5 linked regions of the Sus scrofa genome follow. The protein of the gene in region 3 purifies or fractionates together with the protein of the main gene of each other region. This does not show direct contact. Links are inferred from orthologs where the notes say so. Each region holds a gene or a part of one and is shown on either strand. Other genes may lie near its edges.

Region 1 (6,201 bases), on a different chromosome or scaffold from region 3:
AGACAATTTATGAAACTTTTGTTGAGACCACTAATCAGGGCAAAACTTGCATTTCTGAAAAAAAAAATCATAAGCTACAGTAATCCCTCAAAATTTTGGCTTTATGAGGACATAATGAACTTCTTTGCAGAACAGACACTGACTCACAGACTTTGAAAAACTTATGGTTTCCAAATGAGACAGGTTGGGGGGTGGGGGAATGCACTGAGGGTTTGGGATGGAAATGCTGTAAAATTTGGCTGTGATGATTGTTGTACAACTATAAATGTAATAAAATTCATTAAGTACTTAAAAAAAAATTGTGGCTTTATGAAGGTCTCAGGAGGTACCTACCCCTTGAGAACAAAGTTCTAAGCACTGTATTTATGCTAAGTATTTCTTTCAATTACAAAGTGAAAATTTGGTACAATTCCTCTTCCAATTTTATAATGAATATAGTATGGAAAGATATATAGTTTATAAAGAAATTATTTTATTTTATTTTTGCTTTTTAGGGCTGCACCTGGGGCATATGGAAGTTCCCAGGCTAGGGTTTGAATCAGAGCTGCAGCTGCTGGCCTGTATCACAGCTCACACCAATGCCAGATCCTTAACCCACTGAGCGAGGCCAGGGAAATTCACATCCTCATGGATGCTAGTTGGGTTTTTAACTTGCTGAGCCACAGTGGGAACTCCCAAGAAATAATTTTAAACTAAAAGAATGGAGAACAGTTAGGAATAGATGAGAACTTTAAAAGCATCACTCATACTAGCAGATTACGTTCCTGGTCTACTACATGAACCTTCCTTTGAGGAACCAATCCTCCACAATCACACTCCATGTGATTTGAGTCTGAATAACCATTCCAATCTGCATCCACACCCAGGCCCCAGGCCTGGCCCATCCCAGTGCTCCATGCTGCTTGGCTAAAGGACTGGTTCCAAGATAGGTATGTGAGTCAAGATGGAACAGTCAGGGTCCTCCCCAAGACCTTTCTTTGCCATGTGCAGAAAAGATGTTCTTTCTTTTAGGATTATGAGATTTAAAGACATAAGAGCTGGTGTTCCTGCTGGTTACCTTCCCTGGTGCTAGATCAAAGAATAATATTAATGCATGAGTGAAGCAGAGCTTTAAGATAGCAAACTAAAACTAAGAATGAGGGCATATTCCAAAGACTTCACTAAGAGTCATGAATCTAGATATACTCAAAGCTATTTCTACCCCTAGAATTTTGATTTATGTGAATAAAATCCTTCTTTTGCTTAAGATTGTTTGATTTGACATTCTATCGCTTAAAACTAAGAGTTACCAATATGCTTTCACTATACAAAGAACAATAACTTGTAATCTAGTAAACTCTGTAATTACTTTGACACTCTACTATAAAAGGCACACTTTAGATTATAGTGGCTTCTTACCTTGAGAACATCTAATAAAGATACTAAAGTTACTTTCTGAATTACACCAGAGCTCATCATTAAATATACAACATGCAACCCTGAATAAATGGATCTGGGTACTCACACTCATCCAGCCCCAACTGATAGGCTAGGTTCTGAAGGCCTCGTACCTTCTCCATCAAATTAGCTGTGGTGAGGCTCCCCAGTTCTGAAACAGAATCATTTATTTCAATACCATTTCTTTCCACTGCTTCTAGTAACAACGCATGCGGGTTGCAAATCCTTGTTATAAAAATTTCAAGCTTAATTCCTATGAAATAAGTAGAAAATGGATCCATATCTCTTCTCAACAAATCACATCACCACTACCCCCAGCACAGACGTGCACACACACAAAAACGCACAAATCAAATCAGTGAATTTTTCCACCACTGCAAAATGCCTCAGATAAGCTTACCCACTTAATGAGAAGAGAATTAACGTAAACACAACAACAAATTACATGTTTTATCCTGAGGATCTTTTTGTAACATTCATTTTGCGTATCATACAAAATGAATATATGGTTAAAATTTGAAAACTTGTGATCTGACATAGCATTGAGACAGCAAACAGACAGATCTCTGTCTCACAAAAAGGACACTATCTCAGCTGTCATTTATAAGTCCACATTACTCCAAGTGACAATAAAACACTTATTCTTTCCTATTTCTCCAGGTTTAGAAAACAGGCTAAATATTAATCCAAATTTTACCTTCAAATCAAATTCCCATAAAAAAATTTTTAATTTTACCAGATAAAAAGACAGTAAACTTAAAATTTTATCTTCCCAGATTTTCATTTAAACAGAACTTAATTCCTTTTAAGTTTAGGACATACATGAACTTGCATGAAACAGAATGCTCTGATCCCTTATCAAACTTTAAAGCTTCCTTAGAAAATACATGTTGATGGAATATTATATAAATGTCTGTTTGGAACATTAGAACAATGAACCCAAGATGCCCTTGAGACTTAATTTTTCCAGATGGAGGAAGGGCTCTGCTTTTAAGCATTTCATGCAGAACAATGAATTATTTCTGAAGTCAAATAAAGGTGTTATTTTCTCTCACTCATCATGCCATACTTATTATCTATATCTGGCATAAGTAGACTTTGTGAATCTGTTCAGCTGCTTAAATAGCTTAAGAACCCCAGATTTTTTACCTCAATTTCATTCTATTACTTCACAACCATCATGAATCTTATCACTACGAGGATGATAAAAAAAATTAAGTAAAGTAGAGCAAAATCAAGGAAAATTAATGTTTTTTAATTTAAATTTCTACTTTGTGATTTAGTCCCAAGCCATTTATCAAACAATGATATTCACTACTTACAGTATTCTCTATGGGAGAAATTGATGAGATAGAAAGAACTAAAAGACAGGTCTTAACCCACTAAGGGGTTGTCAATTAATAGTACTCATAACAATATATGACAGCAAATCCTAAATAAGGCACTTGCATTATAACAGTAAGAGACTAGCTTTAAAAGATCCGAGTTTAGGAGTTCCCATCGTGGTTCAGTGGTTAACGAATCCGACTAGGAACCATGAGGTTGCAGGTTCTACCCTGGCCTCACTCAGAGCGTTAAGGATCCGGCGTTGCCGTAAGCTGTGGTATAGGCTGCAGACGCGGCTCAGATCTGGCACTGCTGTGGCTCTGGCGGAGGCCGGCGGCTACAGCTCTGATTAGACCCCTAGCCTGGGAACTTCCATATGCTGCTGGTGCGGCCCTGGAAAACACAAAGAGACCAAAAAAAAAAAAAGTTCAGAGTTTAAATTTTAACTCTTTCTATAATAAAGCTTGGTTAACTTCTGAACCTTAGACATCATATCTAACTCACAGGGTCTTTATGAGAATTAAATAAGAAATTTTATGTGAGAGCTTATAGTTAACGTTAATTTTTTCTTTTTTTTTTTCTTTTTAGGGCCACACTCGAGGCATATGGAGGTTCCCAGGCTAGGGTTGAATCGGAGCTGCAGCTGCAGGCCTCTGCCACAGCAACGCAGGATCCGATATGAATCTGTGATCTACACCACAGCTCACAGCAATGCCAGATCCTTAACACACTGAGCGAGGCTGGGGATCGAACCCACAACTTCATGGTTCCTAGTTGGATTTGTTTCCACTGAGCCAAGATGGGAACTCCAACGCTAAGTATTATACAAAATAAAATTAACATTAAAGGAATTTAGCAGCAGAAAAAATCAGTATGGTTGGGTCTTGAATTATTTCTACACATGGAAAAGTAGAGAAAGGCATTTAGATATGAAGAACCATGAATAAGGATGGTTAAATAGGCAATTTGAAGCCAAAAATACTTGTAAGGGAATCGTGAAAGAAAAACTGGAAAGGTGGTTTGCACAGGAGCATAAAAGTCAGGTTGAAGGTTAGAGGTCACCAGCTTTGCTTACCTTTCAACATGTCAATGTCATCGCGTTCTATTTCAGCCATCCATTTGGGTGGGGAGCTAGTAATGGGCTGTCAGAAAATAAGAATACATCTATTCAGACATGTGCAATGTATAGAGATCCTACTTTTCCTTCTTTTTTTTTTTTTTGCTTTTTAGGGCCGTACCCTGGTATGTGGAAGTCCCAGGCTAGGGGTCAGATCAGAGCTACAGCTGCCAGCCTACACCAGAGCAACACAGGATCCAACCTACATCACAGCTCGTGGCAACACCGGATCCTTAATCCAATGAGCAAGGCCAGGGATTGAACCTGCATTTTCACGGATAATAGTCGGATTCATTTCCACTGCACCACGACGGAAACTCTCTACTCTTCTTTCTTGTAAGAAAAGGAGGTTGTCACACAGTCCTCAGGTTGTTTGAAAATACCAGCAAGTTATAATTTCAAAGAACCAGATTTCTCCAGATTCAGCTCTGACCTACAAATAGAACCCTTACAAAATAATACTACTGATCTTTAAAAGCTGGTTTTAAAGTAATGATCTTGAAAGATTTAGGTCTGAATACTGTTACTAGTGTACGAAAAATAGGTAAGTAGAGCCATGAAAGAAATTATTTGAGGAGTTCCCGTCGTGGCTCAGTGGTTAACAAATCCGACTAGGAACCATGAGGTTGCAGGTTCCATCCCTGGCCTTGCTCAGTGGGTTAAGGATCCAGCGTTGCCCTGAGCTGTGCTATAGGTCACAGACGCAGCTCGGATCCCTCGTTGCCGTGGCTCTGGCGGAGGCCGGCGGCTACAGCTCTGATTGGACCCCTAGCCTGGGAACCCCTATATGCCATGGGAGCGGCCCAAGAAATGGCAAAAAGACAACAACAAAAAAAAGTTTCTCTGCCAGTCAGTGCTTTTAACTTTAGGTACAAATGCCTCTAAATATGGTATAATGAGCATAGACGCTAGTAAGTAGACTAAGAGGTTCAAAGCCTGGTTTTGCCATTTGTAGCCTATAATCTTGAGTAACCTACTTAACCTCTTTATGTCTATTTCCTTCTCTGTAAAATAGGGATAATAATAGTACCTATAGCTCATACGGTTTTGTGAAGATTAAATAATGTATGTAAAGTATATAGCTTATAGTACACATTATGTATATGCTGACTAATATTATAATCATCATATTTTCCTGCTTTCCATATTTTCCAAGAATATACAGGAGGTATTCTAGGAATATACATCTAGCATAATGCCTGCTGCCCGGGAAGTGGAAAAGCTATGGCTTTAAAAATGCCTTCCTTTGGTCTCTGACAAGCCACTGAGAAATTTCAAAATCCTCTAGGGAGGTATAAGTTAAGGTCATAATGCATCACATAAGCAAAAGAGAAAGGCTTCAAAAATCACAGTTTGGGCAACAAGAATACTGGCATTACATTAAAAATTTCAATAGCTTTACCTTAAAATCTCATAAGCTGAGAGAAGAGGCTAATAGTCAAAGGTCAAAATACCAAAATAGAACATCATTAGCATGATGATAATATAAACAGATTTCAGGGGCTGTAGTTACAAAATAATTTTGAAGGCTAAGACATTATTCTTGAATATAAAAAAATAAGAGCTATTTGATATTTTACCCAGGAGCAAAATGTTGGTAAAACTTCATTAGGTAAGTAAGATACTACTTACACTTTTGAAAGAAGCTGCAAATTCAGCAACACCTGGTACTAAAAAGAAAAAAACACAACATTAGTCACTCGATAAACATTTTAGTGTCCCTAACACAGAGGATTCAAATGACAAAACAGCTTTGTCTTCAAGGAGTTTATAATCTGGAAGAAAAGAGAGAGGATATCAATAACTATAACATTTTTTAAGGGTTTTATGAAAAATAACAGGACAAAAAATGGTATTTGGTATGTGGGAGGACAAAAATTTGGTATATGAGAAACAAGAAATGAAAATCTAGGAGTTCCTGTTGTGGCTCAGTGGTAACGGATCAGACTAGTATCCACAAGGACGTGGGTTTGATCCCTGGCCTCGTTCAGTGGGTTGGGGATCCAGCACTGCCGTGAGCTATGGTGTAGGTCTCAGATGCGGCTCAGATCTGGTGTTGCTATGGTGTAGGCTGAGAGCTACAGCTCTGATTTGACCCCTAAACTGGGAACTTGCATATACCACAGGTGCAGCCCTAAAAAGGAAAAAAAAAAAAAAAAAAAAAAAGAGAGAGAGAGAGAGAAAGAAAATCTAAATCAGACTGAGGGAGCAAGAAAAGCTTCTCAGAGAAAATAACCCCTTTCAAGTGAACTTTGAAGGTTCAGGAGTTAGCTGAATGAGAAGGTGGTGAAATATAACCTCTCTTATCAAAAAGTTTAAAT
Region 2 (4,983 bases), about 17 Mb from region 3:
TGAATAAACAAGAGGGTGGCTGGGGGCAGACGGAGATTCGGCCAATCCTCAGGGACTCACTCGCCCAGATTCCCAGCTAGAGCTCTCTGCTCCTTCCTGTTGGCAGCCCTACCACCACCTACAGGTCCTCAGGGCCAGGGGCCCAGCAGAAGGGGGCACACGAGAGGACCAGGAGAGCTGTATGACTGCGTGTGGGCAGAAGCGAAGGAGGCTGGGTGGTGCTGGCAAGTACCCCATGCTTCCTCCTGGAGGGGACAGGGGCTGACAGGTACCGGACAGTGGGGCTGGACAAGCTGCCCTATGAGGGTGATGGAGGGTCCTCGGTTCTGTGCCACTGGGTGGCAGCTGAGCCTCAACTCTGGGAGGGCCCAGGGAGGGTACTAGGTAGGGGAAGGCTCCAAAACAGGAGAGGCAAACACTTTGGCTCCACGTGGAGTGGGCTAAGCCCCTTACCCCTGCTCTGCCAGCACCGTACAGGTGTTGGTGCAGGAGTAGGACTTGTGGCCAGAACTGTGCAGTGAGGGAAGTCTGGGGAAGCCAGGAGTCTGCGGCTCTCAAGCTGTGTAGGGATGGGGTCGGGGAGGTCCCCAGGCAGCCCCCAGGTCAGACAGTCTGTGTCCCAGCCACAAAGGGCATGCCCTTGTCAGTCAGAGGTTGAGAACAGGCACATCAAAGAGGTCACAGACACCTTCACTCTCGTCCAGGTTGTAGATGTAATCGTGGTCTCCAGGGGGTGGAGAAAGGCGGAGGAGGGGTGCAAACACTGCGGAGAGGGACAGGCTGAGGCCCCAGAGCCAAGATCCCACTCAGGAGCCACCCAAACCCTGCCCACACTCACCCCCACCTTCCTGGGCACCTACCTTCTGAGGACATCAGCTCCTCCAAGAGCTCTGAGTTCATGCACTCTGGGGGTGGAGGGAGAGCGCAGTTACATCCTGGCTCCCACCTCTCCACCCGCCAAAGCCCATGAAGGGGACCACCCAGCCATCAGGAACGTTACCCTTTGCCCAGGTACCAAACACAAGCATAAGGTCCTCAGAAGGGCAAGAAAAGAGCCCTAAGACCCAATGAGCTGTACCCCTCACCCCAGCCCCAGGGAGGAACACAGCCCTACCTCGCGTGGGATCAAAGATTTCTGACAGCTCTTTGGGGAGTTCCAGGACTGAAAGACAAGAAAGCCACTCTCAAAGCACAGAGGGCCAGCCAGGTCCCACTCTAGCCCCCGCTTCCCCAGATTCCACACCACCCACCTGGGGGTCCACACAGCTCAGACATAGGTCTTGCACCAGGCCAAGCTGGTCCCCCCAGACTGTAATTCCTCAGTGCCGAGCCCAGGGTGCCAAAGGCCCAGGGGAGGCAGCTGGCACTGCCCCTTCCAACTCCGCAGTTCTGCTGAAAGGCAGTACATCCTCTCCCTTTCTGGGCTCAGTGTGCACACCCCGGCTGACGGAGGACACTCTGTCTGAGGGAAGATAACCTGTCCACCCTGACCTGGCTAATAAGCACCTCTTTGGTGCCGGGCTCAGAGACCACACCCCAGGCCACATCTGGCAAAGGAGAAGGTGCTCTTCAAAAGGGGACAGTGCTACAGGGTGACAACATGGCTCCAAAGGTCTGACCAGGAGGATGCACATGGGAAACGGGAAAGAAGCGCTGGAGCTGGATTTCACATGCCAGTTTAAGGGCTCTGGTTTTATCCACCAGACCTTAGGAAGCTGTTAAAGGTACTTTTGTAACAAAGAAACACCGCAGTCAAGCTGTTTGTGACAGATCCTTGTTGGAGTAAAAATGATGCTGAGGGACTTAGGAGAGCGGTGGCTGCAGTGATCCTGAATGCTGAGGATACAGGAGGCCATCAATGGGGGTGTCTGGGAGAAAACTCATTAGCTGATGTGGGATGGGGGGAAAGAGAAGGACAGAGGAGGAGACAGAGTTGAGGTGACACCCAAGTGTCAGGCCTGGGTGGCTAGAGCCAATGGTCGAGTACGCACAGAGGTGGAAAAGCAAGTTTCGGTTCATTGCAGCTCTATTCACATCAGCCAAGACATGGAAACAACCCAAATGTCCATCGACAGATGATTGGATTAAGAAGACATGGTACTTATACACAATGGAATACTACTCAGCCATCAAAAAGAACAAAATAATACCATTTGCAGCAACATGGATGGAACTAGAGATGCATACTAAGTGAAGTAAGTCAGAAAGACAAATACCATACGATATCATATATCTGGAATCTAATGAGCAGTACAAATGAAATTTTTCCACAGAAAAGAAATTCACGGACTTGGAGAACAGACTTGTGGTTGCCAAGGGGGAGGGGGAGGGAGTGGAATGGACTGGGAATTTGGGGTTAACAGATGCAAACTATTGCCTTTGGAACGGATAAGCAATGAGATCCTGCTGTATGGCACTGGGAACTATGTCTGGTCACTTATGATGGAGCATGACAATGTGAGAAAAAAGAATGTATACATCTAAGAGTGACTGGGTCACCTTGCTGCACAGTAGAAAACTGAGAGAACACTCCCAATCAGCTATAATGGAAAAAATAAAAATCAGTATTAAAAAAAAAAGGAAAAGAAAAGCGAGTTTCGGCTGAGCACACATGGGAGTGAGGTGCCTGTCGGCTGTGCACAGGAAGGCACGTGGACACAGGAAGTAAAGTTTTTAGGCAAGAAACCTATACACAGATGCTGGGAATCCATCTACTCAGAACTGGGGCCTTCCAGAGGGATGGACTCTGAGAAGCCAGATTTAAAGGAATGCCAGAGAGAAGTTACAAGAAGAAGCCAGTTAGGAGCCAAGAACCAAGAGCTGACATCATAAATGGCAAAGGCGAAAAGGCACATCAAGACAGAGCAAGAGAGCACCAGAGCAAATCAGCCCCAAAACCCGCCAGCACTGGCCATCAGGACTAGCAGCACTGGCGTGGCAGGGGGGGTGGGGGTCCTGACTGCTGCATCCTCCAGCTGACTGGGGGACCTGGATATGGGACAGAGTGGAGATAACTTTTTCAGGAAGTCCAGACAGAGAGGATACAGGGAAGATAAGAGAGGGGGACACAGGGGACAGACACTGTGTCATTTAATGAGGGAGACTTAGTGGTGCTTGTGGGCCTAAGGGGAATGAGTCCTGGAAAAAGCACTCAAGTCACAAGATGGAAAGGAGACACCAGGCAGATGGCATTCCCATTCTGAAGAAGACACTGCCCACCTGTGGGGCCTGAGGCCACATTGCAGCCCTTTCCCCAGGAGAGTGCTCACGCTGTCCTGAGTCCTGGAGGTGGTAGACAGGGCTTGGGGAGGGCCAGGGCGTTCTGGGTCAGCCCAGGAAGCGGGCAGAGGGGCGCTCTGGCTGGCAGAGTTCTGGTGGATGGCAGGGGGTTGGCTGTGGGGCCAGCCAGCTTTGGCTGAGGAGTTAGGAGAGCTGCGTTCCAGGCCCAGTTCTGTTTCTGACCTAGGACTGTCTGAGGCTGGGTTCTCCCTGCTCCCAAGGGGACAAGTACTCACCGCCTGTGGGGTCTGCCTTGATGGGCTCAAAGGAGGTAGAAGGGTTGGGTCCGGATGAACTGCTATTGCTGCTGCTGCTGCTGCTGCTGCTGTCCAACAGGGCAGAGGACTGCAGCGGCCGGGTATCCAGCGCTGTCGGGCCCAGTGGGAGGGAGCCCAGCTCACCACTGTCCTTGCTATCAGTTCCAGGGCCACCACTCACTGCAACCACACACCCCAAACCCAGTCACTTGGGAACAGGAAGCAGGATATCGAAGCTGGCTGTTCTAGAACCCACAGCCAAGATGACTATAGCCCTGGTTCCTGGGCCCAAGGAGAATTAGGCACTGCCAACCACTCCCAGGAAAGTAACATCAAAAATCTCACTGAAGAAGACAGAGGCGTGAGTCCTGCAGGAAGGAGACTCATGGACATGGCCACTGTGATCACACTTCAAGAGGGGATGCCAGGTCAAGTGAGACGTTGGCAGATCTGGGGGGAAACTGCCAGCACTAATGCCCTTTCGCATAGTCAGAACTTCCCTGTTATAAAGGGTTCATTCGCAGCACTAGTGAGGAGAGGCCAGTGCGTGGGGTGAGGGCAGGGAGAGACAACCTGCCCCAGAGTCTCCTCCAATCTAGAAGGACATTCTGTCACACAGAGGTATTGCCTCCAGGGCCCCAGAAATCACCCTGTCACCAACTACCCATGTGCCTCACCTGTGATCTCAGCTGCTGGACCGGCCACCCCCTGGGCCTCAGTGCTGCCGGAGGAAGGGGTCGAGGTGGTCACCTGGGGACTGCTTGGCCGTGAGGCATCCTGGGGCTGGGCCAGGGCAGGCTTGGGCAGAGGGGGAGGGGTAGAGACAGCAGGTGGGCTCTGGAGCAGATCTTCAGGTGGCGGCACAGGCACCGCCACGGGTGGTGAGCTCCATGCCTCCTTGTTCACCAGCAGCACCTCGATGGGACCACTTACACTCTTCAGGTGAATCTGGTATTTCTTCTGCCCATTGAGGCCCTGGAGGTGGGGGTGCGGGATGGAGGAGAGATGGAACTGGAAGCAGGCTTGGCTCCTGCTGAGCCAGTGTCCTCTCCCACCCCAGGTTGCCGTTCTCCTAGATAACCTCAAACCCCAGGCCTCCCCCTACCGACCCCACCCGGGACTTATCGGGCTCTGCAGCCAGCACCCGCCCTCAATCCACCCCGCCTGACTGTGCTGAGCACCCACCTCTGGGATGGGCACCTCCAGGCTGGTGCCTGATGGGGCCCGGATGGCCAGGAGGGTGTCTCCTGGAATGACAAGGAGGATGGGTCAAGATCCACCGGCTCAATCTGAGCTGAGAAGGGGGTACCTGTCCCTTGAAGCAGGGAAGGAGATCATGGGCTTGGAGGGGCTGCACAGTAGGCTTCACTCACCCCCTACCATGAGAGGGCAAAGAACTAAAGCTTTTCTCCTCCTAAGAGTCCAAAGGTCAATAACCAGAAAATCT
Region 3 (6,084 bases):
CTGAAGAGCTCAGACTCTGAGCCGGGGGCACCGCAGTGTGGTGGAGGGTTCCAAGCAGGGGCGGATCAAGGTCAGGTTTGGTTTTAGGAAGATTCCCTTGGATACTGTGTGGCGAGTGGATCAGAAGGAGAGACTGGGGTCAGGAGCCCAGGGGAGAAGAAGGGAAAGGGCCAGGGTGGGGAAGGGAGCGATGTGACAGTGATGAGGCCCAGGGAGGGACTGAGGGACAGTGGGGATACTCCTGAGATGGGGGTCCAGGAAAAGGGGTGAGTTTAGAGAGACACTGAGGCCAGTGTGGGACCCAGTAGGTGGAAGGAGCCTGGGGGAAGTCCACAGGGAGGGGTCCAGGAGGCCATGGGGTCCCAAGGTCTGAGGTTCAGGAGGGAAGCAGGGACTAGGGAAAGAGATGAGGGCATGATCCAAACCTTGGCTCCTACCCAAGGCTCTTTGCTAGAATATCAGCTGCTTCCAGCCCCTCATCCCCTCCATCTCTCCTCTGAGTAACGTCTCCTGGGCTCTTTAGGAAGTCTCGGGGCTGGTAAAGCATGTCCCCAAGTGTCCTTCCAAGCTCTGAGCACTGGGCCAGCGCTCCTACTAGTTGGAAGAGGAGAGCAAACACCCCTCAGGAGCAAGGGGAGGATATTTACAGCATCGTCACCTCCTTAAGTTCTTTGATAATGAGAGGCAGACCCACAGGCTGGTAAGGCCAGGCAGGGCCTGTGGCCTGCAGGCAGGTGGGCCCGGATCTCATTTCCCTGGGAGGAAAAAGCCAAAAATGGGTATTTTAGATGAGAACTCCCATTTATTAAATGTAGTCATTGCATTCAGATTTAACTCAGACTTAAAATAACACCAATACCTCAAACACATTTGAGGAGTAGATTCTGCAGCAGTTTGAGCCCCTGCCTTATAACTTCGGTTGTGGAGCCAGATGACCTAGTGCAAATCCCCAGCCTTGCAATGTCCCAGCTGGGTAACTTTGGGCAAGTAACTTAACATCTCTGTGCCTCAGTTTCATCTATAAAATGGGGGTAAAAATCATATCTGCCCACCAGGGTCATTGTGAAAACTCAGTGGGTTAATATGCATGAGGTGCTTGGAACAGTGTTTGGCACGTAACAAACCCTCTGTGTTATTATTATTATTATTATTATTGTCTTTTCTATGGTTGCTCCCATGGCATATGGAGGTTCCCAGGCTAGGGGTCGAATCGGAGCTGTAGCTGCCGGCCTACGCCAGAGCCACAGCAACGCAGGATCCGAGCCACATCTGTGACCTACACCACAGCTCATGGCAACGCCGGATCCTTAACCCACTGAGCAAGGCCAGGGATAGAACCCATAACCTCATGCTTCCTAGTCGGATTAGTTTCCCGTGTGCAGGAACTCCCCAAACACTCTATGTTATTACTTTTTTTTTTTCACCAAATCCACAGCCCGTGGAAGTTCCCAAGCCAGGGATGGAACCTGTGCCACAGTAGTTGCCACCTGTGCCACAGCTGCAGCAACACCAGATCCTTAACCCACTGAGCCACAAGAGGACTTCCATATGTTGTTACTTTTTATTAATGCATCCTGCTAAGAGAGTCATATAGAGCATGGGTTTATTGAAATCTCAGAACAGTCCGAGCAGATAGGTATCACTCAGAGACCCATTTTCAAGATGAGGAAACAGGCTCCTTGAGGTAAGGTGATTTACCTTAGGTCACACATGAGCATGTGGGTCAGCCCTGGAACCCAGAGCTGTTGCTTATCATTCAGTAGTCCCTGCTTGCTGTGTCCTCCCAGTCTGCCCGGGCCTGGCCCAAAGATTAGATATGCATACCCTTCCCTGGCCCAGGTGGCTGCCCAGCTGCCTTGGGCCAGGGGAGTGACTCCTGCTTGGTCCCTTCTTCCTCAGAGCTGGAGATGGCCAAGGCCCGGAACCAGCTGGATGCTGTTCTGCAGTGTCTTCTGGAGAAGAGTCACATGGACAGGTTGGGATCTGGCTGTGCATGGGGTCATGGGGTTGGGGGCCCTGGCAGGTTGGACCCCCTGGCCCTGGATGGGACTCCAGAGGCTGGCTTAGGGAGGAAGGGAACGAATGGGTGAGATCACTGGGGGCCTGCCCACTCTGAGCCGTTGGAACCCTGAACCCACATTTCTCTCTGCTACCAGGGAGCGTCTGGATGAGGAGGCCAGGAAGACCCCTTCAGACGCCCACAACAAGTGAGTTTTATTGATGGGATCTGCCACTGAGGGTTTGTGGTGTGTAACTTTCCTCATCTGAGCCTGACCCCCCTGCCTCATGCTTCGCCTGTCACCGTCCTACAAGTACAAAGGCCCTGGGGCAGCGGAAGCTCAGGTCCCCTCTCGATGGCACCTTGAGCCTTAGGGGATGAGACCCAAGGCCTAAGGGGTTGGGGCCCATGTCAGCTTGATCACCCTTTGGGTGCCCTTTGGGCGGTTTCGAGCAGACAAGGGTGAGCCTGCTGACACCCTGTCTCTTCCCACAGGGACTGCTCCATCGCGGCCACTGGCAAACGGTAAGGGGGCAGGGGCCCAGCCAGCTGAGAGGCCCCCAGACCCTGCCCTGGTCCTGATATTCTCCCTCCCACACAGGCCATCCGCCCGATTCCCCCACCAGAGGAGGAAGAAGAGGAGGGAGATGGATGATGGGCTAGCCGAGGGTGGGCCACAGCGATCCAGTGAGTAGGTGGTGGCCCTAGGGGCGGGGCAGGGACAGGCGGCTTTGTGAGGACCCTCACACGCCTCCTGCTCTCACCACCCCAGATGCATACGTGATCAAGCTGTTTGATCGGAGCGTGGACTTGGCTCAGTTCAGTGAGAACACACCTCTGTACCCGATCTGCCGAGCCTGGATGCGCAACAGCCCCTCCGTGCGCGAGCGGGAACGCTCCCCCAGCTCACCGCTGCCCCCGCTGCCTGAGGATGAGGAGGTGGGATGGGCGGTGGGCTCCCTCCCTGCTGGTAGGATCAGTAAGCACAGGTCTCTGTGTCCCTCAAGTGACCCCCGGATCCAGTGAGGCTCACGGATACGAACCTTTAGGCCAAGGAAATGATTGGAGCGCTCTGGAGCAGACAGATGTGGCTGTCTGGCCTGGGAGGGAGCGGAGACAGGGTCAGGCAGATAGATGTGAACTCCAGGATCAGGGACCTCCAAGGGCTAGGGGATGGGGCAGGGGTCTTCAGTGCAAATAGCTGTAACCACTTGACCTAAGGAAGCAGATGGGGACCCCTTGGGCTGGGTAGGGTAAATGAAGGTCTCTATGCTGGGCACTGGGGGTCCCTGGGTTGGACAGGAGACAACAGGGATCCTTGGAGCAGCAGACCGGATGCCTAAGTACAGGTCCCTGGTGAGACTCTCATGTCTTTTGCCACTGCAACAGGCACAAGGTGTGGAATGTGTGTCCCTGCCCCTCTTTGACTCTCTTGGGCATGGCGTGGGGCCCTTGTATCCCCAGGGTTCAGAGGTCACCAACAGCAAGAGTCGAGACGTGTATAAGCTGCCTCCACCCACAGCTCCTGGGCCACCTGGAGACACCTGCAGATCCCGAATTCCATCCCCGCTCCAGCCTGAGACCCAGGGTGCCCCTGATGACGAGGTGGGTGTGCAAGGCTGGCCCCGGAGCGATGGGGCCTATGTAGTGGGGCTGGGCATGGATGCCCAGCCTGGCCTCTCTGTCCATGCAGCCCTCCGAGCCTGAGCCCTCACCCTCCACTCTCATCTACCGAAACATGCAGCGCTGGAAACGCATCCGCCAGAGGTGAGCAGCCCCCAGCGTGCATGATCCCTGTGGCCTCTACTCCAACTGCTGAGCCCTCCCTCTGTCTTCCCACCCCCGCCACAGGTGGAAGGAGGCATCCCATCGGAACCAGCTTCGTTACTCGGAAAGCATGAAGATCCTACGGGAGATGTACGAGCGACAGTGATGTTCCCTTGTCCCCCCACCTCAATAAACATTCCCCTGCCCCATACTGGCCTCCACTTGCTCCAGCCCATCCTTCCTGGCCCAGACAGAAAGCCGTTGGCACAGCTCCAGCACATTTATTGGGGGAGTGGGCCTGGGTGAGGGGATGGGGGCGTCAAGAAACTCAAGGAGGGAGAAAGATTGTGGAGCGCCAAAGAAAATGGCTGCTGCTTTGGATCTTGGAGAATAAGGGGGAGGGGTGTGGAAAGTGGATTGCCTGGGATTATGTGGTTGGAGACTTGAGGGACAAGACAGGGGGGGTTCTGGTTAGAGCTGGAGATGGGAGCCTAGGATATCTGTGCAGCATCTGGGGAGATGGGGTAGGTATCTGTACAGTTTGAGGCTGAGGGTCCTGGTTGGCCTAGAATAGGGGATTAGAAAAAGGGTTCAAGAGTCTGGGGGTAGCTGGCTGAGGTTTCAAGTTAGAAGATGGCTGAGGGGAGAGGGTGAGGGGTACTGGAGTAGCTGCTTGGAATGAGGGGAAGGATCCAGAGGTTGTGGACCAGGCCAGGATGGTTGAGGGTGGGAGGTCTGTGCATAGTCTGGGACCTTTGAGGGGAAGCAGGGATTATGCATGTTTTGCCTAGGTTTAGGGTGGGGGCAGGGCTGTCTCCACCAAAATCTTGGCGCGTGGATTGAAACGGGGTGTGGAGATGTTTGCCTAGAGGAGTCAGAAGGAAATAGGGTGTCTGGAGTGGGGTTTTATGCCAAGTGGGGTCCTTGGGGATGGGAGACCAGGCTGAGGGACAGTGCTTTGTAGGGTCTGGAAACTAGAGAAGTGTCTGGAGGTTTGTAAGCTGGAGAGGGTGTAGGAGCCCGGAGTGTCAGTGTAAAGGCCTGGGTTATCAGGACTGAGTCTAGGTTGGAAGGGTCAAGGCAGATCCCAGGTGGGGTGGGCGGATAGTCTTGGCGCGCGCCGGGGGACATCTGGCTGGGCGGAGTCAGGTCGGCTTTAAAAGGCGGGGCCTGAGGCGGCTCCCAGGGTTCTCTGACCCCTACTTGGCAGCAGCCGGTGGCGACGGCAATGGACCTTGGGCCGGCGCAGGTGCTGCCTGGATGGACAGGACGCCTTCAGGGGACAGAGCGGACGTCACGGCCGCCGGGTCGACACCAGGCGGCAAGCGGTAGCGGCGGTGGAACTCGCGCGCGATGTATCCGTGCTCATCCTGGAGAGAGAAGCTTGAGAGGCTCCGCCCCTTCCCTGTAGATGCCCCGCCCCTTCGGCCTATGATTCCCGCCTGCACGTTCTGATCCCGCCCCCGCCAGCGGGCTCACCGGGCGCTCCTCGTGGCGCGCATGCACCTCCACATGTTCGCCAACCACCTTGACGGCGATTTCCTCCGGCGAGAAGTGCTTCACATCCAGCAGCACCGAGAAATGCCCGGGATCGGTTGGCACCTGCGCACAGCCCCATTGTCATCGAGAGGGGCGGGGCTCTCGGGACCCCGCAAGGCCCCGCCCCCCTGGCTTCTGACTCTGTTCTGGTGCTGCAGCTGATTCTGGCCTCCGGAACTGCGGGGTCCCCTTTCCTAGGCGGTAGCCACCGAAGACCTCTTCATCCAGAGTAACTGGAATCATCCTTCCCCTTGTAGTAGCTGGGCTTCCCTCTCACCCAGAGGGATGAGGCCCCCTTCCCCCGCAAGATCAGGCACCTCCGCCCTCACGGGGTGAGGCCCGCCCTCTCCCTTAGTGTCAACAACCCCGTAGTCGGCGTGTCCTTCTGGACACTGACTCCTCAGCCCCCTTACCCAGAGCCCCTGGGGCCCTTACTGCCCCACCCGCCCCCAGAAATCGCCAAGATGCCTCCTCCCCCAGTCACCAGTGTTCTCTTTCTACCCTCCCACTCGAGTCACGGGATTGCTTGAGCCCTCAGCAATTACTAGTACTCCTCCCCCACTTCTGAGTGGCCAGACCCCTCTTTCTCAAGTCACTGGACCTTCCCTACCCTCTGCTTCTCCAGGAGACCTACACAGTCACCACACAGTTTGAAGATTCTTTTCCCCGAGAATAACAACACATTCCCTTCCCTCGGGAGTCCCTGGGAGCCCCACGCTCTTCGGAATAACTGGGCTCCCCCTTTTTTCCCAGATTGCCTGGGTCAGCAGCATCCTTCG
Region 4 (6,201 bases), about 13 Mb from region 3:
AGTGAAAAGCATAGCCCCAAATGGCTTCACTGCTGAATTCTACCAAATATTTAACATTCTACCAAATTCTTCACAAACTCTTAGAAAAAATAGAAGAGGAAGAAATACTTCCTTAAGGCATTAAATGAGTCCAATGTTACCCTGATAATAAAACCAAAGCCATAACAAGAAAACTACAAATTATTCTTATGAATAGGACAAAATTCATCTATAGAATACAAGCAAACTGAACCTACTAACATAGAAAAAGAATTGTATACCACGATCAATTGGGATTTACACCAGGAATGCAAGGTTAGTTTGATGTGTGAAAAATCATCTAATACACTATCAACAATAAAAAACAAAACCCACAACTATCTAAACAGATGCAAAAAGATCATTTCCAATACCCTTTCATAATAAATGCTTAACAAACTAGAAAGAGAACCTTCTCAACCTGATAAAAGTGTCCTTAAAAAAAAAATAGCTAGTATCATACTTTAATGGTGAAAGTCTATATGCTTTCCTCTTAAGGAACAAGGCAAGAACTTCTGCTCTCAACATTTCTATTCAACTTTACCAGAGATCTAGTCGGAGTAATTAGGAAAGAAAAAAAAAAAAAAAAAAAAGGCATTCAGTATGAACAGGAAGAAGTAAAACTATTTCTATAAGCAGATCACATAATCTTATTACAGGAGTCCATTGTGGCTCAGCAGTCATGAACCTGACTAGTATCCAGTGGGACAAGGTATTGCTGCAAGCTGTGGTGTAGGTCGCAGATGTGGCTCGAATCTGGTGTTGCAGTGGGCGTGGCGTAGGCCGGAAGCTGCAGCTCCGATCTGACCCCTAGCCTCCATATGCTACAAGGTGCAGCCTTTAAAGCAAAAAAAGCAAAAAAAAAAAAAAAAATCTTGTACACAGAAAATCCTAAGGAATCTACTAACCCAGAACTAAAAGTGAATGCAGCAGGGTTGTGGGATATGAGATGAACATACAAAAATCAATTGTATTTCTATATACTTGCAATGAATACATCAAAAATGAAACTGCATTTATAATAGCATCAAAATAAGAATAAAGTTAACAAAAAAGTATAAAAGTTATACTTGAAAACTGTAAAATATTGCTGAAAGAAATTAAAGAGAACTGGAGTTCCCGTCGTGGTGCAGTGGAAACGAATCCGACTAGGAACCATGAGGTTGTGGTTTCGAACTCTGGCCTTGATCAGTGGGTTAAGGATCTGGCGTTGCCATGAGCTGTGGTGTAGGTCGCAGATGTGGCTTGGATCTGGCGTTGCTGTGGCTCTGGCGTAGGCGGGCAGCAACAGCTCTGATTAGACCCCTAGCCTGGGAACCTCCACATTCCACAGGTGCGGCCCTAAAAAGACAAAAGACAAAAAAAAAAAATTTTTTTAAGGAGAACCTAAATAAATGGGAAATATTCTGTGTTCATTGATAAGAAGGTGAAATATGGGTAAGATAGCAATACTCCAAATTGACCTTCAGATTCAACAGAACTCCACCTGATTTCTTTGTGACATGATGTCAGAATCGACAAGACGATTCTACAAGTCAAAGAATTTCAAGGGATTTAGCCTAGCCAAACAAACCTAAAAAAGAAAAGTTACCAGTTTTAAAATTTAAGCTGTTTGTTTTTAAAATGGGGAATGTTATGTGAGTTTCGCCTCAATAAATTATATTAAAAAACAAACTCACATAATAAAATGTATTGGTGAGAATGTGGAGAAATCAGGACCTTCAGACAATTCCAGTGGAAATGTAAAATGGTGCAGTGATTTTGGAAAACAGTCTGGTAGTTCCTCATATAGTTAAACACAATTTACCATATGACCCAGCAATCTGCTCCTAGTTATATACAAAATATAAATGAAGACTTCCATGGAGAAACTTGTACACAGATGTTCATAGCAGCATTATTTATAACAGCCCCAGAGAGGAAATAATCTAAATGTCCATCAACTGATGAATGAATATCATATATTCATATAATGGAGTATTATGTTCTAAAACTGTGGTGACAGTCACACATGTATAAATATACTAAAATCCACTGGACTGTACATTTTAAATGTGTGAATTATATGGTATGTGAATTTTATCTCAATAAAGCTGTTAAGTAGCATATTTCCTTTTTCCTTTCCTAATGGTACTCACTTTTGCCATCACATAAATGGCACACATTAACAACTGGTCCAGATGTCTGTCCATCATAAGTTCAGGACACTGAATTATGGAGAATTCAAAGCAGGTCCAGATTTTTTTCCTCAGTTCATCTGAAATATCCAGTTTAGCACAAAGATCTCGGAGGCGGACACCTGCTAAGTGGTAAACCTAGTAGATAAACAAAAACATCTCAAACTTTATGTAACCCTTATATTTCCCAAGCTCTTATCCTGGTAAGGGTATGTGAAAAATTACCTTTCTAAAGAAAAGCGATAAAGAGCTTGTCTTCCTGGGTCTTACACTGCTGCTGGTTAAAGGCAGGCCTTGTTTCTGCTGTTGTCCACCTGGGGAAATCTGTTGAATGGCCACCTGACCAGGGACTTGCAAGGCTGTTCCTGTCACCTGTTGAGAGCTTAAACTTCCAGCCAGGGCCTGAGCACTGAGGGGCTGGATGGAGCCAGTCACAGCTTGCGCCTGCCCTCCAACATTGACTTGCACTGGAAAGAATGTTATTCCTCCATTTTCATTGGCAATGCCTAAAGTTTGAAAAAAAAAGAAAACACAAAGAAAATTTTTCCCTTCTCAAACCTCTGTTCTCATATTATTCCAACCAAATCTCAGGTAACTTTCTAATAAATGCCACAGAGAAAGAACTCAATATCCAGTATTGACTTCCTTACCTTGTACAGGAATGGTCACTGTTTGTCCATTGTTGGCTGTGACAGTGGCTGTTGCCATGGTGACCAAAGTCTGTCCAGGAACTGGTGTGACAGAAACTGCTTCTCCAGATACATTCTGCACAGGGACAGTATTGACGAGAGGCTGTGGGGGAAGGCGCCCAGGGGTCCCTCCATCAGTGGGGCTATCATTCTCAACAAATAACCGCCTTCTGGTAGAGCTGGCTGTTGGAGAGCTGTACCTATCATATAATGTGGTTGGAGATGTTATGCCTAGGATCAAAAACAGAAAAAAAACTATTTAACTCAAGGAGACAGATCTAACTTCCATCCAAGCTGTTATGTTCAAAAATAGTTAAGTGTTTGAAATACTATAATTCATAAAATTATAGGAGTCACATCATAGCTACATTCAATGAATGAAAATGCAACTAAATACTATTGTGCAAAATTTTATTTTTATTTTATTTTACTTTATTTTTGTACTTTTAGGGCTTCACCCGTGGCATATGGAGGTTCCTAGGCTAGGAGTCAAATTGAAGCTGTAGCCTCTGGCCTACGCTACGGCCACAGCAATGCCAGATCCAAGCCATATCTGTGACCTACACCATAGCTCACGGCAACACCAATAACCCACTAATCGAGGCCAGGGACTGAACCTGTGTCCTCATAGATACTAATCAGATTCGCTTCCACTGAGCCACAACAGGAACTCCCTGGGCAAAATCATAATGAAGAATTTTTCTCTGTCTCACAGTGCTCCTTCTTGACTCCTCCTTCTGCTAAATCTACCTGGACCTTGCTCTCCAATACCACAGGGCCTTGATGATTCAAGGGTAATTTAAATAATTTTCTATTTTCCTATCATATTCAATTTCTACCTAACACTCATGTGAGATGTGATTTCACTGTAAAGCCATACCTGATAAGAAGACTTGATGAACTTGATATTACTAAGGTATCATCTGGAAGCACTTACCCCATTTTATGCATTTTCATCTTTGTCACTTTTCATATATAGAAAATTACTAAAATTCAATAACGTTCTTCAGTAAAAATGGACATAGATGTTTTGGATTCAATTAACGTACTTTTTTAAACAACTTTATTGAGATGAATCACATATTTCACACATTTATACAATTCAATGGTTTGGGGTATATTATACTATTAGCTGGTTTTTTTTGTTGTTGCTTTTTAGTGCTATACCCACAGCATATGGAAGTTGCCAGGGTTGAGGTCGAATTGGAGCTGCAGCTGCCAGCCTACATCACAGCCATAGCAACACGGGATCTTGAGCCGCATCTGTGACCTACAGCACTGGATCCTTAAACCCACTGAGCAAGGCCAGGGATCAAACCTGCATCCTCATGGATTCTAGTTGGGTTTGTTACCACTGAGCCACGACAGGAACTCCCTGGTAGATTTTTTAAATTTTAGTAAAAAAATATATATATATAAAATTTTATTAAAATTTATATTAAAATTAATATAAATAATAAATTTTATTTATATATATATATCATACAGTTAACCATTTTACCCTTTTTAAGTGTACAATTGAGGTGCATTAGATTCATAATGTTATACAATCTCCATTTATTTCTAAAAGTTTTTCAACATCCCAAACAGAAACTGTTAACCATTATAGCTTAGTCTATTGTACTTAACACCACAGTACACATTCACACCAACGTTAATTGTTAAGAAGCATTCCTTTCCCTCTCCCATGTCTAGCTGTAAAAATTGCACATCAGTGGGTTTTAAATACTAAAATACATAAGGAAGTCCAGAGGATTGATAGGAATAGTTCTGACAGTCTGTGGGCTAACATTTGAATTTCGTGATGATACAAAAGCAAATAAATTTACTAGATTTATATTTGAAACAAAGCTGCAGTTAGAATACATTGACATTATCTCATAAAATATTAAAAGACTTCATCAAAATGGAGACGTGATAAGTGCAAAAAAATGAAGTTTAAAGTCAAGTCCTAATCCATAGATTAGGGAAGGAAAAACTCTACAGAAATAGAGTTGAGGAAGACCAGTTATCAGATCTATGGGTCTGAGTGGATAAAAAGCAGAAAAGCAGTTGAGCCATTAAGCCACTATGCCTCCTCTTTCAAAAATGAGTAAGTTTTCACATAGATCATCCATATTCTGAGTATGCACTGACACAGAGTGATTCCTAATTTTAAAACTGATCTTGGGGAGTTCCCGTCGTGGCTCAGTGGTTAACGAATCTGACTAGGAACCATGAGGTTGCGGGTTCGATCCCTGGCCTTGCTCAGGGGGTTAAGGATCCAGCGTTGCCGTGAGCTATGGTGTAGGTTGCAGACTCGGCTCAGATCCCGCGTTGCTGTAGCTGTGGTGTAGGCTGGTGGCTACAGCTCTGATTCGACCCCTAGCCTGGGAACCTCCATATGTTGCGAGAGTGGCCCAAGAATATGGCAAAAAGACAAAAAAACAAAAAAAAAAACAAAACAAAACAAAAAAAAACTGATCTTTCTTCTATAGCCAGTGCTTATCAATTTTTTAAAGTTCATCTGGGAGTTCTCACTGTGGTGCAATGGGATGGGCAGTGTCTCTGCAGCACCACAATGCAGGTTCAATCCCTGGAGCAGCACAGTGGGTTAAAGGATCTGGTGTTGCTGCAGCTGCTACGTAGGCTGCAACTGTGGCTTGGCTCTGCTGCCTGGCCCAGGAACTCCATTAGTTGATCTAGAAACAAGAATTTGCTTCCTTCTAATGGGATCCAAGGATTTAGAACTCTCTGGATTTACAGACATGCAGTTTTTGGGGTTTTTTTTCTTTTTAGGGCTGCACCCAAGGCATATGAAAGTTCCCAGGCTAAGGGTCAAATCAGAGCTGCAGCTGCCAGCCTACACTACAGCCACAGCAATGCCAGATCTGAGCCACATCTGTTTCCTACACCATAGCTCAAAGCAACACCAGATCCTTAACCCACCGAGCAAGGCCAGGAATCAAACCTGCATCCTCATGGATACTAGTCGGGTTCTTTACCACTAAGCCACGAAGGGAACTCCTAGAATTTCTTTTTAAAAGGTAGTTTTATCTTAATTATGTGAACTTAAACCTTGTACCTGGCAGATGTTATAGAGAGCTGCCTAAAATGTACCCAAATGAATAGCAAACTTCCCTTTTCGGTACCACAGGGCCAGTAATGCTGTTATATTAACCAGGTTAGCACAGCTCAACTGACAAGAATCAAAGCTGAACATGCTCAGGCCATTCAGTCCTCTAAACTCACTGGCTCATCTAATTAGATCATACATTCCATCTTTAAAAAGTTTTTCGACCCCCTTGCTGTACAGTGGGAAAATAAAAAAAAATTAT
Region 5 (6,905 bases), on a different chromosome or scaffold from region 3:
GCATTGCTGTGGCTGTGGTGTAGGCCAGCAGCTGCAGCTCCACCTCCAATTTGACCCTTAGCCTGGAACTTCCATATGCTGCAGGTGGGGCCCTGAAAAAAAAGGAGCAAAAATGCTTTTATTGATATTTGTCCAAAGGATGAGAAAATGTCACTTCCCCACATGCAGAACCCCCTCTAAGTCCCACAAACCTCTCCCCTCCCTGCCTCCCCACCTCTTGTCATCATCGCTGCGGTGGAAAACAGAAAATGGCTGGATATGGGTTCGATTCCTCTCCTTGCTCACTGGGTTAAGGATCCGGCGTTGCCTGTGGTGTAGGCCAGCAGCTGCAGCTCAGATTCGACGCCTTGCCCAGGAACTTCCATGTGCTGCAGGTGTGACCATTAAAAAAAAAAAAAAAAAAAAAAAAGTAAGGAAAACGTTCTCTCTTTAAAGGTGAGTTTAATGGGGGCAGATGAGGCTTTGCATCACACTGTGAGACTCACAGAGCAGGCACATAAAAAAATGGGGTTTTGAGAGAGGAGGTGTTTTCCTGGGAAGGACCGGTCACTTCTTTCTAATAAAACACGGAACAGAACCATTTTCCTGTGGTATCCTGGACGGCCCAGGGACCGTGCAGCCTGTGGGAGGAGCAAGTCTACACCCAGTGGAAGCACCACTAAAAGCCATGCTTCCTGAACCCGCCCGGAGGGGAGGCTGGACACTTGCAATGGTGCAGTAACTCCTGGGAGTGCAGAATGTTTCAGTAGTGGTTTTTGTGCAGGCATTATTTTGAATATGAGAAGGACTTATCCTGTGTAAATACTGTTGAATTACTGGAATCTTGAGTCTGTAGAGAGACGTCTACGATTGGTCCTTACTTCCCGTTTCTTCCTAACTCTGACCCCCTGCCCTCACCCAGAGGCTCACTGCCCTGAGCACTTAGGCCTGAGGGCTGGGCGCCCCTTCCGCCTGCCATCCGCGGGGTGAATATTCACATTCAGTAAAAACAAAGGGTATCTGTGAAAGAGCTGTGAGGTTGGGAACACATCAGCACTTGAGGAACAGGACGGGGGACCGCAGGATCTGGCACTGGGGACCCTGCTGCCCAGTGGGACGCTGTGCACACTGTACCACCGGGAAGCAAGGTGTTGCGCCTGCGGGCAGGGCAGGTAGGTCCGTCCTCTGAAGCCTCTTATTTACCCTCTTCCTCCTGGATCCCGGTTTCTCTGAGTGCCGCGTACTGAAGAGAAAGAACGCGAATATCTCTGCTCCCTTCAAGAAACCAGCGCTAAGGTGTGAACAGTCTTAGGCCGGGAGGGGCTTTACTGGAGAAGCAGAGTGGGCGTGATCAGCATAAAAGCGGTTAAATTGGGAAACCGTCCGCGGCCGGGTGGAAACCTGCAAGATGAGAGGCCTTTGCTCTGTGCTCATGAACTTCGGACTTGACTCCCAGGCCCCTCCCGACCTCCGCAGCGTCTCTGGAACCAGAGCCCATGCCCTCTGGGGCCTTGGTGCTTGCGGGGGCGCCCAGAGGGGACGAGTCTCCGAGGCTCAGCGTCCACTAGGTCCAGCCCACCCAGTGATGAGGAGCCAACTCTCCTGCACTGAGAATGCTCTGAGGCTGGCTGGAGGCTGGGCGTGGGCACGGAGGCCGCTGGCAGCTCAGAACAGGAGCAGCAGGTGGACAGGGCTCTCTGCGCTGTGGGTGCACACGGCCCTCGCCTCGGTGCAACTACACACGCACACGCCTGGCCTCCTCTCCTTGCGCACCTACACATGCACCCGCCCCTACACGCCCATGGGCACCCAACCTCTCTTATTCTCGAATACGTATACACACTGTGCACACACTCGCCCCCCCATGTGCGCACTTCTGTACGTGCATACGCACACACTCAACCCATTCTCCGTGTGCACACCCATGAATGCATCTCTAGCCCCTGGGTACGCGCGCGCACATACACACACTTGCACACTGGCTCCAGACCTCTGTGCATACACACTCACCTGCACACTTTGCCCCTGTTCCTCATGTGCCCACACGTGTATACACACTCCTACCCCCCATTCCCCGGATGCACACACACCCGTGTACATGCACAGGTGCACACCTCCTCAGCTTCTGTCCCCCTCCCCAGGTGCTTATATACGCACGTGCACCCCTAGTCCCTGTCCGCCGCGTGCGCACACGTGCGCATATCCCCGGCCCAGCTCCCCCGCGTGCGCAACACCGCGCCCCGGGGGCTGGGACCTCCTCTCCATCTTTGCTCGGCGCGCGCACACACACGCGCGCACATGCGGACGCGCGCAGGCGCAGCCCAGCCCCCCGGAGCGCGAGCGCGGGCCGCGGAGCGGGAGGAGGAGGAGGAGGAGGAGGAGGAGGAGGAGGAGGAGGGAGCCGAAGGCGCGAAAAGGCGCGCAGGCGCGCTGCGGGAGCCGGGCCGCCGCCCACGTCACCGCGCCGCGCACGTCACGCCGCCCGACGCTCGCAGGGTGAGCCCCGCGCCCCGGCGCCTCGGCAGGGCAGGGACCCCGGCCGAGCGCCGCCGGGACCGCCCGCTCTTCCGCGCCCGCCCGCGTGTGCGCGCCGCTGTCCGCGCGCCGACCTCCCGCCCGCCAGGTGCGGCGGGCCGGGGTCCCGGAGGGGCGCACGCGCCGGGCGCCTGCGGACCCCGACCGACCCCCGCCCCCGCGCGCCGCGTGCGCCGACCGGTCCCCGCGCGCCAGGGCCGCCGCGTGGGCGCCCAGGTGACCGGCCCGGCGGGGTCGCGGGCCAGGGTCCCCGTCGGGGCCTGCAGGGGCCTCCGGGCGGAGCAGCGCGCGCATCGGCGTCTGCGCCCGGCGGGGGTTGGGGCGGGCCGAGTCCGAGCGCACGGGGTCCGGGGTGCGGGGTGCGGGGGCCCGGCGGCGCCGACCCCACCTGCCCGCCGACTGCCGGTTCCGGGGCGTGGGGGGCGCTCGCGGGAGGCCGCCGCGGCCTAGTGACAGGCTGGAGGCCGGGACCCCGGAAGCCCACCTGTCAGAGTTACGGGTCGGCTGGTGGTCGCGGGTGGGCCGGGGCGCCCGTGGGGAGCGCGTGTGCGCAGAGACTGGGGCTGCGCCGGGTGGGAACGCGGGCCGCCAGTGCGGGCTCGGCCTCGCTGCTGGCTCTTTGTGCGCGTCTGGGGAGGCCGGCGGGCATTCTGGTGGCGGACGAGCTTCCATTCCTGAGATGACTTTAAAATCCCCAGCGTGGGGGCTGTTTCTGCGGCCCCGCTCCGAGGGTGGAGTGTGGGCATGGAGAGGAAGGCGCCGCTCCCCTGAGCCGCGGTGGGGATGGTGGTGGTGCTGGGGGGAAACGCTGAGGTTTGTGAACTTCTTATTTCATCCTTATTCACTCCTTGCTTTTCCTTTCTTCTTTTTACCAGAAAAGTCATTTTTCTTCTCTGGAGGGTGAACAACTATAGCATCGATTTCACGGATCTGGTAACATGGCAAAAGATGTAAGTATGTTTGCTTCCTGCTGGACGCATGTTTGCCTACTGATACATTCTTGGTAGTTTCCCGATTTTGTTTCAGAATGACAGCACACAACATTCAGGAGCGTTTATGTTCAGACTCTTAAAGCACATGAAACACGCTAAAGGTGAGGAACCCAGAGGAGCCCCGGTGGCCTTTATGGAGGGTACTTTGCAGGCCTGAGCCCCCAGGGGGGCCAATGCCCGATGGGGCTTGACTGACCCGATCTGTGGGTCTCTTCTGACTGGTTAACTTGGAAATCTGAGTGCCTTGGTGGGGGACCCTGGGCAGGCGCTGGACTCGGTGGAATGGCGCTGAGCATCCTCTGCAGGTACCGTGTAGGATGTTACTTCAGCTTTGAGCCGTAACAGGCTAAGCACTGGGTTTGGCAGCCTTTTTTCTCAGAAAAAGTGGCACTTGGTGCCTAGTGAAGTGGGGTGCAAAAATTCTACTTTAGCTTTATATTTGTCGGGGAGCTATAGAATTTGATGAGTTAGTTTTTTTCTCTTGTTTTAAGAAGTAGGCTTTTCGGCCCCAAGATTTCGGCTTTTATCATTTGGGCAGCTCTTTCGATCCTGGGTGACATCCGTGAAATTCACTGAAACCCCGGCTCCTCCTTTAGCGTGTCTCAGGACGTGCTGTTCCGTAAACATTAATGAAAAGAGGCAGTTTATTTATTTACTCGTGTGTTGCGTGGAGGTGGAAATGCAGCTCTGAGGACGTGCATCTGCCTGAGACACAGCCGGAGGGTAAAGCACGTCCCTGTTGGTGGCGCCAGGAAACGGGCATGATGCCTCCGTCACCTCGCGGGTTTGAACCTTCTGCAGGGCGCCTGTCGGAAGGCACCCCACCCGCTGGGCCTTAGGCTGTGGGCCCCCGCGCCAGTTAGTTTGGCAGAGCGGGTGAACACGGGGCTAGTGTGGTGGGTTTGAGCTTAAAACCAGAGTCTGTGTGTGATGTGCAGGTGGTGTTACCTTCTAATCGTCAGTGGCCAGGCCCAGTTCTCTGCCACTGTCGCCCGGAAGACGCAGGACGGGAGCTGGTGCTCAGCAGGGGTGCAGCTGCCCCCATGCCTCCCATCGTGGGTGGAGGTGGGGAGCTGAGTTTGCCTCTCGTCCTGTCTGAACCCCCTGGAGGAGGCGTCCTCTCCCTCCCCCTGGGCATCCGGGGGATGGGAAGACAGTCCAGGCCCGTGCCTGGTTCCAGGAGACTCCTGAGCGGCCTCCTCCGAAGGTCACTCCTGGAGGTCAGCCCAGCGAAGGCTGGGTCGCTGTGGGCCACCTGGTGGCTGGGTGGGGGTGATGGGGACCACCCGTTGAGCTTGGGTACGTGACACAGTGGAGGTTGGTGTCGCGGTGAGAACAGCCAGGTAAGAAGCAGTGGCTTTGCCTGTCCTGGGTTGGGGTCGGCAGGTGTGCTGGAACCGGGTCTCTCCAGGGCTGTGCTTGGCGGGACAGAGGCTGCGGGCCGCTCAGGCTCAGCCCCGTCTCCCCCTGCGCTGGGTCTTAGGTCAGGTGTGACATTGGAATCTGGGAAGCTGACCATTGTCGGGGGGTAGGGGGCAGGCATAGGAGGCTCACTCTGCCCTTGGGGGTAAGGTCAAAGCCTGCAAGCACCTCGCACAGCCTCTGGCTGAAGCGGGTGGGCTGGGACCCCAGCTGGGCCATTGGGCCCAGGGAGGCTGGCGTTAGGTTCGGGGGAGGCGGGGGGTCCCAGTGGAGGCGGACAAACTCGGGGACTGATGGGGGCAGCCAGCCTGCAGAGGCCCGGGGAGGGTGGCGATTGAGGGCCGTCCTGCTGGTGGTCAGTTCCCCGAGAAGACCCAGAGCTTTCCTCCAGCAGTCGTAGGCCCGCCTGGGCTCCGGATCCAGCGCGGCCAGGCCCGCCCAGCCTGTGCACATCTGCTCGCTCTGGGTCTGCAGGAGGTGACGGTGTCCTTGGCGGGGGTGCCCGTTCTCTGCGTGGCCCTTGAGTGTTGTGTTTACGGGTTGACGTTCGGCCACACCAGGCTTTTCCTGACCGGCTCTGGGTTGTCCATCTAGCAGGACGCGAACCGCTGAGAAAGTTCAAGTAGCGGGTCTTGTATCAGGAGCGTCGTGTTTATTGTCCCCGGGTCTGAAAGCTCCAGGGAAGGAAGAAGGAGAACCACAGCCCCCGTTGGCCGCGGCAGGAGTCGCTGCGGCATCGCGGTTCATCCCAGTTGGACTCTCACTCGGTCGAGTGTAGGGACGGCCTCTCACGAAGCCGCGGGCGTCTGGGCTCCTTGCTCCTCACTCATCTTCACGTCACGGACACGTAGGCCTTCCTCTGGGTGTCGATGCTGCCACGGCCCCCTTGGCAGCTGTGGGTTCATTGGATGCGTTGGGACTGGGGATGTGACGTATTGAAAGAGCGGGTTAACGGGGGGGGGCGAAGAATGACTGCTCCTCGCTTGTCTTTGAAACGTCGAACGCACGGAGCGCGGGGGCCCTTTCTTGGCGCGCGGACCGAGAGCTCCGGGCTCTGAGTGCAGCCCTCTGGGCTGCTTGCCGCTTCGTCTTCTCCTCGCCCATGTAAGCGCCACGAGGGGGTGGTGAGACGGGGACCCAGCCGAGTGCCGGCCTGACAACACGGGCCATCTGGGAGGCCGGCAGGGGAGCTGTGCAGCCCGGCAGATCCCCTCCGGTGTGTCCGTCCCCAGGCCCTAGCACTGGGGATTCTGGTGGTTTCCGGTAAAATCTTCTCAGAGTTTCTCAAATCCATGATGCTACCCCAGGACCAGTCGTCAGAGGTGTGGCTTCGTGTGGACACTGTGTGCGTGAGGACGTTGCGTGCGTGTGTGGACGGCGTGTGCCTGTGGACGGTGCGTGCGCCTGTCTGGGCCGTGCTTGGGTTGCTTCCCGGGCCGGTCGTGCCTGGTGGGACCCCTCCCATCAGGCAGCGGGAGAGCCCTTTCCACGTTCGAGTCCCATCCCTGAGTCTGAGTACCTTAAACACCCACAAGCTTGCTGCATTTGGCAGGTGAGCTTCTAAGCTGCCTTTTTTTATTTTGCATTTTTGGTCTCAGGGTTGAATGTCTTCCTTTTAAAGCAAGTGTCTTTGTGAATCGATGGACCCGCCCTGTGCTCCGTCCTCCACTCGGGCTGACTCCCTGTGGACTCGCATCCACTGCAGAAACTGAGGATTTAAACCCTGGCGTTTCCCAGCAGATGTCTGGCTCCCTCGTCCTTCAGCCCGAGTCCAGGTCCCGGCGTCTCAGGGCGCACCCTGAGAACACACTTCGTCCTGCGGGGCAACCCCGGGCAGAGTCCTCTCCGGGCCTGGCGGCTCGTCTGTAAAGTGAGGGTGGCACCCTCCCTCCCTCCCTGAGGTGATGGTTCCCTTGGGCGGCTCCCAGCGTGAAACCTGAGGCTTGGAGGAAGTCTGGAGCTCATCACGGGCCTGCG

The links.
Region 1: the proteins of LIN37 (region 3) and LIN52 purify together in Homo sapiens (affinity purification with mass spectrometry; 6 studies listed by BioGRID and IntAct, counting the BioPlex papers as one, with this or other methods). This does not show direct contact. The link is inferred for Sus scrofa from reciprocal best matches to the Homo sapiens genes LIN37 and LIN52.
Region 2: the proteins of LIN37 (region 3) and E2F4 purify together in Homo sapiens (co-immunoprecipitation; 4 studies listed by BioGRID and IntAct, with this or other methods). This does not show direct contact. The link is inferred for Sus scrofa from reciprocal best matches to the Homo sapiens genes LIN37 and E2F4.
Region 4: the proteins of LIN37 (region 3) and RBL2 purify together in Homo sapiens (affinity purification with western blotting; 5 studies listed by BioGRID and IntAct, with this or other methods). This does not show direct contact. The link is inferred for Sus scrofa from reciprocal best matches to the Homo sapiens genes LIN37 and RBL2.
Region 5: the proteins of LIN37 (region 3) and TFDP1 purify together in Homo sapiens (co-immunoprecipitation; 3 studies listed by BioGRID and IntAct, with this or other methods). This does not show direct contact. The link is inferred for Sus scrofa from reciprocal best matches to the Homo sapiens genes LIN37 and TFDP1.

What each region holds. Positions count from the first base shown.
Region 1 is NC_010449.5:97,390,515-97,396,715, reverse strand, and holds part of LIN52 (protein lin-52 homolog), read right to left. Parts: intron 5,551-6,201; coding exon 5,513-5,550; intron 3,906-5,512; coding exon 3,839-3,905; intron 1,589-3,838; coding exon 1,505-1,588; intron 1-1,504.
Region 2 is NC_010448.4:27,836,286-27,841,268, reverse strand, and holds part of E2F4 (transcription factor E2F4), read right to left. Parts: intron 4,784-4,983; coding exon 4,722-4,783; intron 4,512-4,721; coding exon 4,214-4,511; intron 3,717-4,213; coding exon 3,516-3,716; intron 1,163-3,515; coding exon 1,115-1,162; intron 906-1,114; coding exon 861-905; intron 764-860; coding exon 648-763; 3' UTR 1-647. UniProt on the Homo sapiens protein: Transcription activator that binds DNA cooperatively with DP proteins through the E2 recognition site, 5'-TTTC[CG]CGC-3' found in the promoter region of a number of genes whose products are involved in cell cycle regulation or in DNA replication.
Region 3 is NC_010448.4:45,177,409-45,183,492, forward strand, and holds the end of LIN37 (protein lin-37 homolog), read left to right. Parts: intron 1-1,899; coding exon 1,900-1,975; intron 1,976-2,156; coding exon 2,157-2,207; intron 2,208-2,494; coding exon 2,495-2,524; coding exon of another isoform or gene 2,525-2,600; coding exon 2,601-2,686; intron 2,687-2,771; coding exon 2,772-2,938; intron 2,939-3,463; coding exon 3,464-3,604; intron 3,605-3,692; coding exon 3,693-3,766; intron 3,767-3,850; coding exon 3,851-3,932; 3' UTR 3,933-3,975; downstream 3,976-6,084. Other genes in the region: HSPB6 (heat shock protein beta-6), read right to left, coding at 4,966-5,136, 5,246-5,368.
Region 4 is NC_010448.4:31,766,491-31,772,691, forward strand, and holds part of RBL2 (retinoblastoma-like protein 2), read right to left. Parts: intron 3,116-6,201; coding exon 2,846-3,115; intron 2,702-2,845; coding exon 2,421-2,701; intron 2,334-2,420; coding exon 2,157-2,333; intron 1-2,156. UniProt on the Homo sapiens protein: Key regulator of entry into cell division. Directly involved in heterochromatin formation by maintaining overall chromatin structure and, in particular, that of constitutive heterochromatin by stabilizing histone methylation.
Region 5 is NC_010453.5:78,753,056-78,759,960, forward strand, and holds the start of TFDP1 (transcription factor Dp-1), read left to right. Parts: upstream 1-2,466; 5' UTR 2,467-2,602; intron 2,603-3,389; 5' UTR 3,390-3,452; coding exon of another isoform or gene 3,453-3,464; 5' UTR 3,465-6,905. UniProt on the Homo sapiens protein: Can stimulate E2F-dependent transcription.